3 linked regions of the Xenopus tropicalis genome follow. The protein of the gene in region 3 interacts with the protein of the main gene of each other region in a biochemical or structural test. Links are inferred from orthologs where the notes say so. Each region holds a gene or a part of one and is shown on either strand. Other genes may lie near its edges. The genes, in order: asb2, itgb1 and flna.

Region 1 (3,756 bases), about 56 Mb from region 3:
ACAGTAGCCACATGATCAAACTTTGCATCACCTATCTATGTCAGCTGATTTATATGTGTGCTGCTAAATAGGTACCCAATTGAGTGTGCTTTATTAAGAGATGGCTCTCAGGTGTATTCTAAATATACACCAAAAAGCAATACATACTGCAGATCTAAACTTGTGTTATTAATAAAGTATACACTGGAAATGCAGGCAGGCACTCAGGATCACCAAAACATGTTTCAAAGCAGCTCAATTTAGAGTCAAAACATTTTCAGTTTATTATGTCCGTACACAATGCCAAAAAGCCTTACACATTTTGTACCAAGAGGGGTACTTAGTCATAGCCATAATGTATGGGGCATATTGTAAAAGGCAAAGAAAACTACCAAACCATTCCAGTGAAGTTTTGAAAGAAAAGGACATATTCTTGCATCTGGAGGCATTATCTTTCCACTCATACCAAAAGGAGGATGTTCCAGTGGAAGAGCTCTCAGAGAGGTAGGTCTGCATGTGCAAAAAGAAACTGCTTTCTCCATGCTGAAGAACAGGACATGTATTTAGCATTGGAAATTGTAATTCATTACAGTCATATGCAAATGCCTACATATACCTGTGGTTCTTCCACACTGTACACAATTAACAGCCTCTTGTAAATATGCCTTTAATTTACAATCAGCCATTTTCTGTACTTTTTTTTCACAGAATATAGAAAACAAATGTTTGACTGAGCCAAAAAAAAGTTACAATTAAAAGAAAATTACGTTTACGTCTAAACAATAAAATCTTTCCAACTGTTATTGCATTCCTTCTGGAAGAAGGAATTAAAACATATATTTATATGGCATGAGTCTGGGATTGTGCCAAATAATTTTAAGTGTTCAGTTGGAAATCAAGGACTTGTTACAAGTGATGACTTGGCTCAGATACCTCTAAGGAAGAATACCAAAATCATTTCTTTTTTTCTTAAGAATGTATCCTTATAAGGCCTATTGTCAGGATGTATAAACAATGAGACAAGGGAGGAGTGAGCCCTCTGTGCAACTTCTCCACGGGATCCAGTAATATCTGCTGCAGGCCAATGCAACAGGGAATATTATTCTGGATGGCAGAGCTGGCTCTTCTAATCTCTGCATAAGAAATCTGAGCTACATGACAGAGTTTTGGCTTGTCGTGTCTGATCATGCGGTGCTCCAGAAATAAACTGTAGCCTACAAAGTCTGTGTTACAGGGCAGTTTCGCAGAGGCAGAGGCAACCTGCTGCAGGGGAGGACAAGGGTGCAACTTATGGGCTGTCTGTGAGCCCTAGGCACTTTAACAAGCTCATTTCATTCTCCTGGAAATATAAAGGTAACGCTAGCATGCATTCTACCAGCATCCTCAAACAATGCATTCTTTTATAATGCTGCACTGAATACTATTCAATGAAGTATTTGGTGTTTTACAGAGAAAACAAATATGAGAAGGCAAATAATTAAAGCAAGTTAGAGCAAACTTTGTACTTTGCTCTGAGAGCTTCCATTTTCTTTTTTATGTATTCAAGGATTAAGAATGCTTCTCTTCTTAAATTATAATTTATTTGCAAATCACTATAGTCATTTTATTTAAAATGCTATTCATGCTTTTAATTTAGCTTGGCTACCTATACCACTGGCAATCCCAGACCGAGACTGAGCACAGAGTCTTAACTTAATGTCTGGGCAGTAACTTGCAAGGAATGTAGCAGTCTCCAGCAATCAGCCAAGTTATTTTATTCTTGCAAATATTTAAAAAAAAATGAAATCCTTTTAAAAAGTATACACATACAGCCATGCATTTTCGCTGCTTTTTCACTTCTTTGCCATTCCAATTAAGGGTCACAGAAAGGAACCATATTTAGAAATACCTTGCTAAGATTAAAAATAATTACCATAACAAAAAAAAAATAACCAACAGAAAGAGATTTTTTTCCTATTTTTAGCTTTTTAGTTGATAAACTGCAACTTTGAACATGAAAGGATGTCAGGCACAGCTTTTCCAACATTGATCTACTGTGCAGTAAGTAGCTTATCAATAGCAATATGACATGTAGTGTGGTGCAGTACAAGGTGCACTGACATTGGATAAAGATGCATGGTCAGGCCAAGCAAGTCAGTGTCATTGATCTAGACAGACAGGCTGGTCTTTGCCACGGAACTACATTTGACCTGGTAATGATGAATATACAGTGTTCTCCTGGCCAAATTTATTTCACAGGCAGTTTTATATAGACTGACAGATGGTGCTGCTCTGGATTTGTTTACTTGCTAGGTTTGATCTTTGGAAGATGCCAATATTGGTGCTTCAAATTTAGTTTCCCGTATTAAGTGATATTGCATAAGTGAAACATGTTATTATGTCTGACTGTTGCTTAACCACAGTTCAGTCAGCTGTTAAAACCTATAAGTAAACATCAAGCAATTTATCAGATCATGTATCATTATACGTAAGAGGGAACTTACATAAAGGGAACTTCTGAGGCTGACTAATTACACTATAACAACATTTATCATGTATCTTTTTTTATAACAACCAAGGAGCAAAATCTCTGCAACAGGATCCTGCTTTGAATTACAGTGATGAATGAAGTTAAATGGAAGTTGGCAGTTGCTCATGTTTAAAAGAGTGTTGTATTTTGCAAGGTTCACACTGTAAAACGATATGCACTGTGCTGAACTGCTGAGCTTGCTTACTGGGATCAGTGCTGGGAAAATTACACAAGCCTCCAGCCAAGGCAATATGATATAACTTTAGTAATACATTTACATTTCTCTGTCCTATTTAACAGAATGCCTCCTAAGATTATAAGTACATGTTATCAAGTTTTCAAACATCAGATGTAAGTGGCTTAGAGACTCAAGATAGCTATGATGTTATGTATGTCACCCCTTGTGATGTAATGAAGTCCTGTTATTGGACAACATTACTGTCTATATGTGGCCAGCTAAAGGTTGCACAAAATGGTTGATTTGGCTGCAGGTTGATTTTAAAGGTGTTTACGAATACACTGTTTATAGATGGGATTTAATTACAGCTTTCAAGATAACAATAAACTGCTGATCACATTCGTATTAATAATTTAACATACATAAGACTGTACACAGAGTAATCAATATCATTTAACTTACTGATAATTCATTATAAATCAAGTGAAAGTAAATCTTTTTGTATAAGGCATTTTAAGGAATTCTTTTGTATGTATCCACTCTACAATCAGTGCTTAGCTTGAGGTTATATTATACTTTCCAGCTCTAAATGAGTTGTGCTCAAGCCAAGTTTGTACCTATTAAAATATAAATAAGAGAAATGACTATGATCTAGACAAGGTCAAACTTCAATTGCAAATTTCTTATTAAGAAACCTAAGTGATGAACACCCCGAATGCTAAGTAACCTTGTAAATATAATACTAAAGGAGTCATTTACAACAGTGTGAAAAGTGCAATTTTGGACACAATTCATCAAGTTTTGTGCCACAATTCCAGCATTGTGCCTGATTTTTGTTGCCACAATTACACACAATTCCAGCACAGTGTGCTTGAATACTGATGCAAATCAGGTGCAAGATGCATATAGCATTTCCAGGGTAAAGGTGTACATTTAAAATGGCATTTGCATTCAACTTACTGGACCCAAGTCTGGTGCATCTATTGATGCAAGCCACCGTTGAAACCTTGGTGTAACCACCAAGCCAAGGGGGGAAACAGTTTCAGAGTCACCCTGCATCACTTAATATTCATTAGAAAAGTCAGAGTTG
Region 2 (3,656 bases), on a different chromosome or scaffold from region 3:
TACATAGCCTAGGCATCATAGCTCTCTGTACAGTTAAAAAACTTTGGGTATGTCCTTTTTAGCTTTATTTGGTCTTGCCATCATCACCTGCTTCTCATGTACCCAGTGATATCAGGTCTCGTGCCACTGACCACTCAGCTTTGCCACCTCTCACAGTATCAGGGGGCAGATAGAGATGTATATAACACTGCAATACTGATATGACTTTCAAAACAAGAGGCTGGAGTGCTGCAATAACAAAATATCTGTATTTGCTATCAGTCTCTCCCTATTTTGTCCAGTTTCTGCCTATTCAGAGCAATTTTTCCCAAAACAAAGATGCACGGATTTCCAAACAAAAGTAGTTACAAGAGCCATCCTTGATAAAGGTCCTTATGTGGACCAAAACGTTGATTATAGCTGGTCCTTACCATATATAATATAATATATATATGTATATAATATTGTGTGTGTGTGTGTGTGTGTGTGTGTGTGTACAGCCATGTATATTTTACCTAGTTTGATGGAGGGCATTGGGATATTCAGCTGGTAACTGGTCAGTGTAAGAATTGTCTGTTCGCTGAAGGCATCCTGTAAGATGAGAATGACTTATTGAGCCTTTGCATTTTATTTTTGTCCTGTCTGGTTGTTTCATGTGGAAATGGGATTTTTCAACTTATCACTAATAAATTTATTTTTTCTAGGTGGGACAGAATGTCTAAAAGCAAATGCCAAATCATGTGGAGAATGTATTCAAGCCGGGCCCAACTGCGGCTGGTGCACTAAAGTGGTGAGTTTTTGCCAGATTTTGTCAAGAGCTCATTAGTAAAACATTTTAGAGGTGTATTTTGGTAGTGCCCAATAATGGGCAGGTATAGATGTGTCACAGCAACTGAACCATACCTTATTACACATAAGAGCATCTTAATGCATAGAACAGAATAAAAGAACTCTACTTAATTAGTGTTACAATAAGCAGAGCAAATTATTTCATAGTCAATGGCTATAAAGCCCCAGATGTCATCTAAGCCTACTTTATTATATCCGGTAGCTGTGCGACTGAGTGACTGTGGCCAGGGAAATACTGCTGTATACATTCCGTTCTCTCATATGACTTCTATATTGAGCAAACTAGAAGATATAGGTCCTAAGTTCTAGAGCAGGGGTAGGGAACCTATGGCTCGGGAGCCAGATGTGGCTCTTTTGATGGCTGCATCTGGCTCGCTGCCAAATCTTTAATAAAAAAAAAAAACTGGGGGTGTGGCCTGCGCTTGGCATATAGAAGACGTGTTCTAAGTCTTAGAAAACGTCTTCTATCCGCCGAACGCAGGCCACGCCCTCCTCCACATCCGGCATCCTTGGCACCCACCCTACCTTGCCCCTGCGCTCGGCGGATAGAAGACGTGTTCTAAGCCTTAGAACATGTCTTCTATCCGCCAAGTGCAGGCCACGCCCTCCTCTGCATCGAATATGCATCCGGCATCCTTGGGGCCCACCCTACCTTGCCCCGCAGCATCCACGGCCAAACATATTGTATGGCTCTCACGGAATTATATTTTAAAAGATGTGGTGTTTATGGCTCTCTCAGCCAAAAAGGTTCCCGACCCCTGTTCCAGAGTATGTCTGAGACATGATGCCCTCCTAATGTAAGCCAATGCTGGAGAGGAAAGGGTGTTAAATAGCTGCAGTTCCTTTCAAGAGAGCCACAGTGATATATTGCCTCCTGTATCATTGGCCTTAGTATTGGTTATTGCCAAAAAAAAAATTAATGACTGCTGAAGTTGCAATAAAGCAAAGGAGTGCCGTCTCTGCCCAGCTAAAGGTGCTTAGTAAAGTCCAGCGATTACTGTATCTTAAACATTACACAGTAATGACATTTGCTTTCTCCTGGAAGAGGCTTCTGGCTATGGAAAATGGCAGAACAGCCCAATACCCTTGTACCATTTAAAATGAATTGTACGAATGGCATCTTTGCTGCACATTTATAGCTGAATCCCACTTTGAATTGAGGTGCAAAAATTAAAACCTTTTAATTTGTTGAATTTCAAGTATATATCCATTATCAGAGTAATTTATATGCCTTCTTTTCCCCGTGGTTAATCTCAGAACTTCTTACAAGAAGGAGAGCCCACGTCAGCACGTTGTGACGATTTGGCTGCTTTGAAAAACAAAGGCTGCCCTGAAGAAGACATCCAAAACCCCAGGGGACGTAAACAAAAGCTAAAAGATATCCCAATAACAAACAAAGGGAAAGGAGAACGTATGGACCCTGCAAACATCACCCAAATCCGACCTCAACAACTGGTATTCGAACTGCGATCAGGTAGGCTCCTAAACCTTAGATAGGGGGCAGCTTTCTCCTCTCCAGCACCATCTAATTGTGTCTGTTGTTTTATGCTAGGTGAACCCCAGACATTTAATTTGACATTCAGAAGAGCAGAAGACTATCCAATTGACCTGTACTATCTTATGGACCTCTCATTTTCTATGAAAGATGACTTGGAGAACGTTAAAAGCCTTGGAACAGCACTAATGACAGAAATGGAGAAAATTACTTCAGATTTCCGGATAGGTACATTTATCTCAAATTACTGTTGCCTAGCTGTATTATATATCAGCACTTGGTAGCCTGATGTCACTAGTCTTATTCCTATGCTTTAATACCTTGCACTATTTGCTGGCACTTATGTGAAATTAGTTACTGTTACATTACAATTATGTAGAAAACAGTAATTGTTACATAGTACTGCCAATTACAGTGTATGTCGCTCCTTAGAAAGCTGGCCATTTTATCCCTCCTTCCTAAATTGATGGGTGCTTACAAGTACCTGTAACTTTCTCTGCATCCTTTGAGAAATACTTTTAAAATGGCATGCCAGTGTATACCATTAGTATAGTCATCAGTTTTAGACCAGCCATGTAAAATTATAAAGGTTTCCTGCCCTTTGGATACTGGCATAAGCAATTCTACCAAACACATTCCTATTTTACTTGTTTTCTCTCTAGGTTTTGGCTCTTTTGTGGAAAAAACAGTCATGCCCTACATAAGCACCACTCCTGCCAAGCTTATTAACCCATGCACAAGTGATCAGAATTGCACCAGCCCATTCAGCTATAAAAATGTCCTCAACCTCACTAGCGACGGAAAGTTGTTTAACGACCTGGTAGGCAAGCAGCAGATCTCCGGTAACTTGGATTCTCCCGAGGGAGGCTTTGATGCAATTATGCAGGTTGCGGTCTGTGGTGTAAGTATTTTTAGCCATTATTTTGATCTTGGTTACGAGACTGTCTGTTCTGTACCACAAGAAAAATCATTAAGGGCATTGGCACATTGTTATGAGCCAAGGGGGTCTGGTCCAAAGGTTGGGCCTAACTGGTTGGGCCTAAGGTCTACCTTAGAATGTATTGTGGTTTTTGGCCTTAGAAATTCTCAAGAACTTTTGGGCAGTATTGGAAGTACATGTAAAAAGTCAAACAGCGTTTGTTTCGCCGCCCCATATAGATAGCTCACACATTTATTTTACTCTGGCTTGAAATTCTGCACCTTTGAGCAGTGTCATGTTTTAGTGGCTTAAATCGGTTGTTCACCTTTAATTTTACTTTTAGTATTATGTAGAGCAATGTTGTCCAACTTATAACATGTAGCAGGCTATTTATCTCATACAGCACAATTCAAT
Region 3 (3,656 bases):
AGTAGCCCAATGAGTTAGATGCTTTTAATTTAGTCTGCTTGAATGGGAATAATATCTTCAAGTTTCCAGAATGTTGGCTTTAAACTTTTCCCCTCATAAAGTGTAAAGATACATGTTGTGTACATAATAGCATGTCCACAAGGACCTTGGCAAAATTTCCTATGCTAAAATTTGCATTTCCCAGTTTTGTCGACCATGAGAGGAGATGTTTGAAGTTTTGGGGTTTTTTGTAATCTGAATATCCTACATGCATGTGGTGCCTGAATTTTAAGAGCTAGGCTTGCTGCTAGAATATTCCAAACCCATTCAGCATCTTTCCTCTGGAGATGGATTGTTTCTAGAGATTGTAAGATACTATACCTTGAACTCAACCAGCACTAAACAAAATATGAGGAAACTGTATCGGACTGTTTGGCCAAACCTCCTGTCAGTATACTCTGGGACCAAACTGTTCTATATCTATAGATAAGCAGAGACATTGTATTCGGTTTAGTAATGCACTAAACTCTCCATCAGCCAGCCACATTTGTGGTTCAGTCACATCAGTGTTCTGTTTATGTATGGTCTGCACACACAGATTGATGGGAAAAGTCTAGACTGGAATAAAGGCATATACAATAAATCCTAAAGAAATGACACCTAACACAAAAGACTAGGAATCACCTCTTCCTTAGGTTTCTCATAACACACAAAGTCAAATAGAAATGTAAGATGGGAATTGGGAGGCAGGAACTGCATAGAAGACCAGTTGAACCTCTCTTGGTGGTGGCCATAGGCGTAGAGAACCATTAGTTGTGCATAAAGACTTGTATCTCTGTAGGTTTGGAATCTTCACATATATTCCTGGGGGAATCGTGATCTGCTTCTGCTGCTAGCATTTGGAAGTTGTATTTCAGCAACAGCTGGGAAACGTTTTACGATATAGTCAATCCGTTGACCTGTGTCTTGTTACTTGACTAGCTGGAAAGTAATCTAACCTTTGCTTACACCTCCAACACAGGCTCTGGACGGCGAGCAAATGATGCCTCAGCAGATGGTTCAACAGCAGTTAGCCCCACCATACGCTTACCCGGGCATGCAACAACCCTGGGTACCCTGCCTTTAACAGTAAATGTGTCATTTGGAGGTGAATAACCTTCCCAGGGCATTGAGGGTTTGGAGAAAGGAACTCTGGAATCCAGTACTTGCCACAACCACTGCATCTTCTCAAAGCTTTACTCTATCAGCTTGTTTGTTTGTTGCAGCTGGCCTCTAGGGGTCTGGTTTGAGCTCTTGGAGTATTTTCTGGGTACCCATTTATAAGGGGGCGGAGTAAAAAACATATGGCTTTATCTGCTGGGTTGTTTGAAGTGACTTGCTTTGAATGTTAGCGATGAACTTTGTTGCATGCTCCTTCACAAGTACAAACCGTCTTGTGCCAGCTTTTAAAAAAAAAAAAAAAGCCTCTCATTGGTCAGACCTTTATCTATATTTCTGGTCTTTCAGCCTAACCTACCCTCTGATTCTGTAGGGAATGCTTCACTTCAGTAGCTTTCTGCTGTGACAAAGCGCCACCATGGATTCTAAGGAGTTTTATTTTCCTTCCCTGCATGCAATGCCCTGGAGATGGACTTTCACCTCGGTCTCCACTGGCCTTCAAATTTGGGGAGGAGGGTTGATGTTGCTGGGCTCAGTCTTTGTCCGTTCCCATACCTTCCCATTCTTCTTTTTTTCCCCCTCCTCATACCCAACATCTAATGTCTCCCTGCCCATAAAATCCATCTCTTATCAGATTTCCTTACTGTCACCAGCCCTTGTGTGGGTGGCACAAATGAGGTGACCTTTTCCACCTCTGGTCAGTCTTCACCTGGTGTCTGATGACTTTGTCTAATGGTCTCTTGCAGAATTCATTTTCCAGGTTTGCCAGCTTTTTTGGATAAACATCCTGCAAAGACTAAATCCATTTTTTTTTTTGTGTGTAAAAACCAACTCTGTTTCAAGTTCAAATAAAACATATATACCATGTTTCTTAATATGAATTGTTTTGTATTCTATCAAACAATTCACAGAAAGCTTTATTAAATAAAGTTTTGCGCTAATATTGAATTAATTTAATCCACGCCACAGCCATTTTTACTTATCAGCTTATTACCAAGAAAGTGGACCCGAGGGGGAGGGAGTCACATGTACGTTTGGCATATCCAACCTATAGCTGCAGCTTTACAACACCCCCCAGATATATCATTGGCTATCAGAATGTTGAATTGCCAGAGCTTATTTCTGGAAATCCCCAAAGACCATACTGATAGAAGATGATATACTAGATTCTATAAACCATTTAGAGGTTTTTGGGGTTGGAATTGGAAGATTCCCTGAATCTGTCCCTACTGACTTTGCTGCTCCTCAATCATTATGATGTCCCATAGTAGGAAACTTGTGGTTTTTACATTACATAGTTATTGCTATTTTCTGTGCATTGTCTTTATTGAAGTACAGATAAGAACTTGCACTGGAGTTGGGAATCTTTTTGTCATCTGTTGACGGAAGTGTTTTGTGTTTCCTTGTCAGGAAGGACTCTTTACTCACTTAAGTTTCATTTCAGGCTACTGATCGTCCAGTTATGGGTGTAAATGGACTGGATGTGGCAGGACTTAGACCTTTTGATCTGGTTATTCCCTTCACCATTAAAAAAGGAGAGATTACAGGTAAGCATGGAGTAGAGGAAACAGACATTAAGCTGTTGTCTGACTGCAGTTTTGCATGACAAATGTACTAGTATTAAGTGTTGATACTAATTTTTTCTACCATGGTTTTGTGGCAAACTAGCATAACTTGACTATAACATTTCTAAGTATGACTAGTGATTGTCTAGCCAAGAATTTTGTGTTTTAATAACTGGTGGTAACTAGGGTGTTGTTGGTTAATAGGGCTTTGGGAGTAGAACAGAGTTTGCGTATCATAGTCTATCATTTATGATGATAATAAGGAAGCCTTGTATGATAGTGGAGGGTGGGTGGAAACCAGAATATCCAAGGCAATCCCTAAATGGAACACTAACAGAATTTTCAGTTTATCTGTCCCTGTAAAGCACTGCGGAATATGACCCTATATGAAGTACAATTCTGTCCTTATGGGTTTTCCATAAGCTATAAGTAGTTTGTATTAATAGGTCCATGAAAGGGAACTTTGTTGGGTGGTCGACCACCTTTTTTTCCGCTAACAAAGCCATTCATTTTGACTGCAGGAGAAGTGCGAATGCCATCAGGGAAGGTGGCCAAGCCTGACATCACTGATAACAAAGATGGAACAGTCACGGTGAGATATGCTCCCACTGAAGCTGGACTCCATGAGATGGATATAAAGTATGATGGCATGCATATTCCAGGTAATATTCTGCAGCTCCACCTTGGCACCAATCTGTTAGGAAAACCTTTAATCCTTAAAAGTAGCTTGACAATTTTACTGGCAAAGGGTTTTATAAGAGGCTTGATTGATATGCTGATATTTGTATTAAGTATTCTTGTACTTTGCATTTTGACTGGCGGCTGTATTTATTTTTCACTCTTAACCAGAACTCTTGCTTTATAGGAAGCCCCCTACAGTTTTATGTGGATTATGTAAACAGTGGCCATGTTACTGCCTATGGCCCAGGCTTGATTCATGGAACAGTGAATAAA

Evidence for each region.
Region 1: the proteins of flna (region 3) and asb2 form a complex in vitro, tested with the Homo sapiens proteins (3 studies listed by BioGRID, with this or other methods). The link is inferred for Xenopus tropicalis from reciprocal best matches to the Homo sapiens genes FLNA and ASB2.
Region 2: the proteins of flna (region 3) and itgb1 form a complex in vitro, tested with the Homo sapiens proteins (3 studies listed by BioGRID and IntAct). The link is inferred for Xenopus tropicalis from reciprocal best matches to the Homo sapiens genes FLNA and ITGB1.

The regions. Positions count from the first base shown.
Region 1 is NC_030684.2:88,133,239-88,136,994, reverse strand, and holds the start of asb2 (ankyrin repeat and SOCS box protein 2), read left to right. Parts: upstream 1-1,102; 5' UTR 1,103-1,332; intron 1,333-3,756. UniProt on the Homo sapiens protein: Substrate-recognition component of a SCF-like ECS (Elongin-Cullin-SOCS-box protein) E3 ubiquitin-protein ligase complex which mediates the ubiquitination and subsequent proteasomal degradation of target proteins.
Region 2 is NC_030682.2:22,881,955-22,885,610, forward strand, and holds part of itgb1 (integrin beta-1 precursor), read left to right. Parts: intron 1-683; coding exon 684-769; intron 770-2,085; coding exon 2,086-2,302; intron 2,303-2,380; coding exon 2,381-2,551; intron 2,552-2,985; coding exon 2,986-3,224; intron 3,225-3,656.
Region 3 is NC_030684.2:31,809,684-31,813,339, forward strand, and holds part of flna (filamin-A), read left to right. Parts: intron 1-1,000; coding exon 1,001-1,090; intron 1,091-2,581; coding exon 2,582-2,684; intron 2,685-3,223; coding exon 3,224-3,364; intron 3,365-3,567; coding exon 3,568-3,656. UniProt on the Homo sapiens protein: Promotes orthogonal branching of actin filaments and links actin filaments to membrane glycoproteins. Anchors various transmembrane proteins to the actin cytoskeleton and serves as a scaffold for a wide range of cytoplasmic signaling proteins.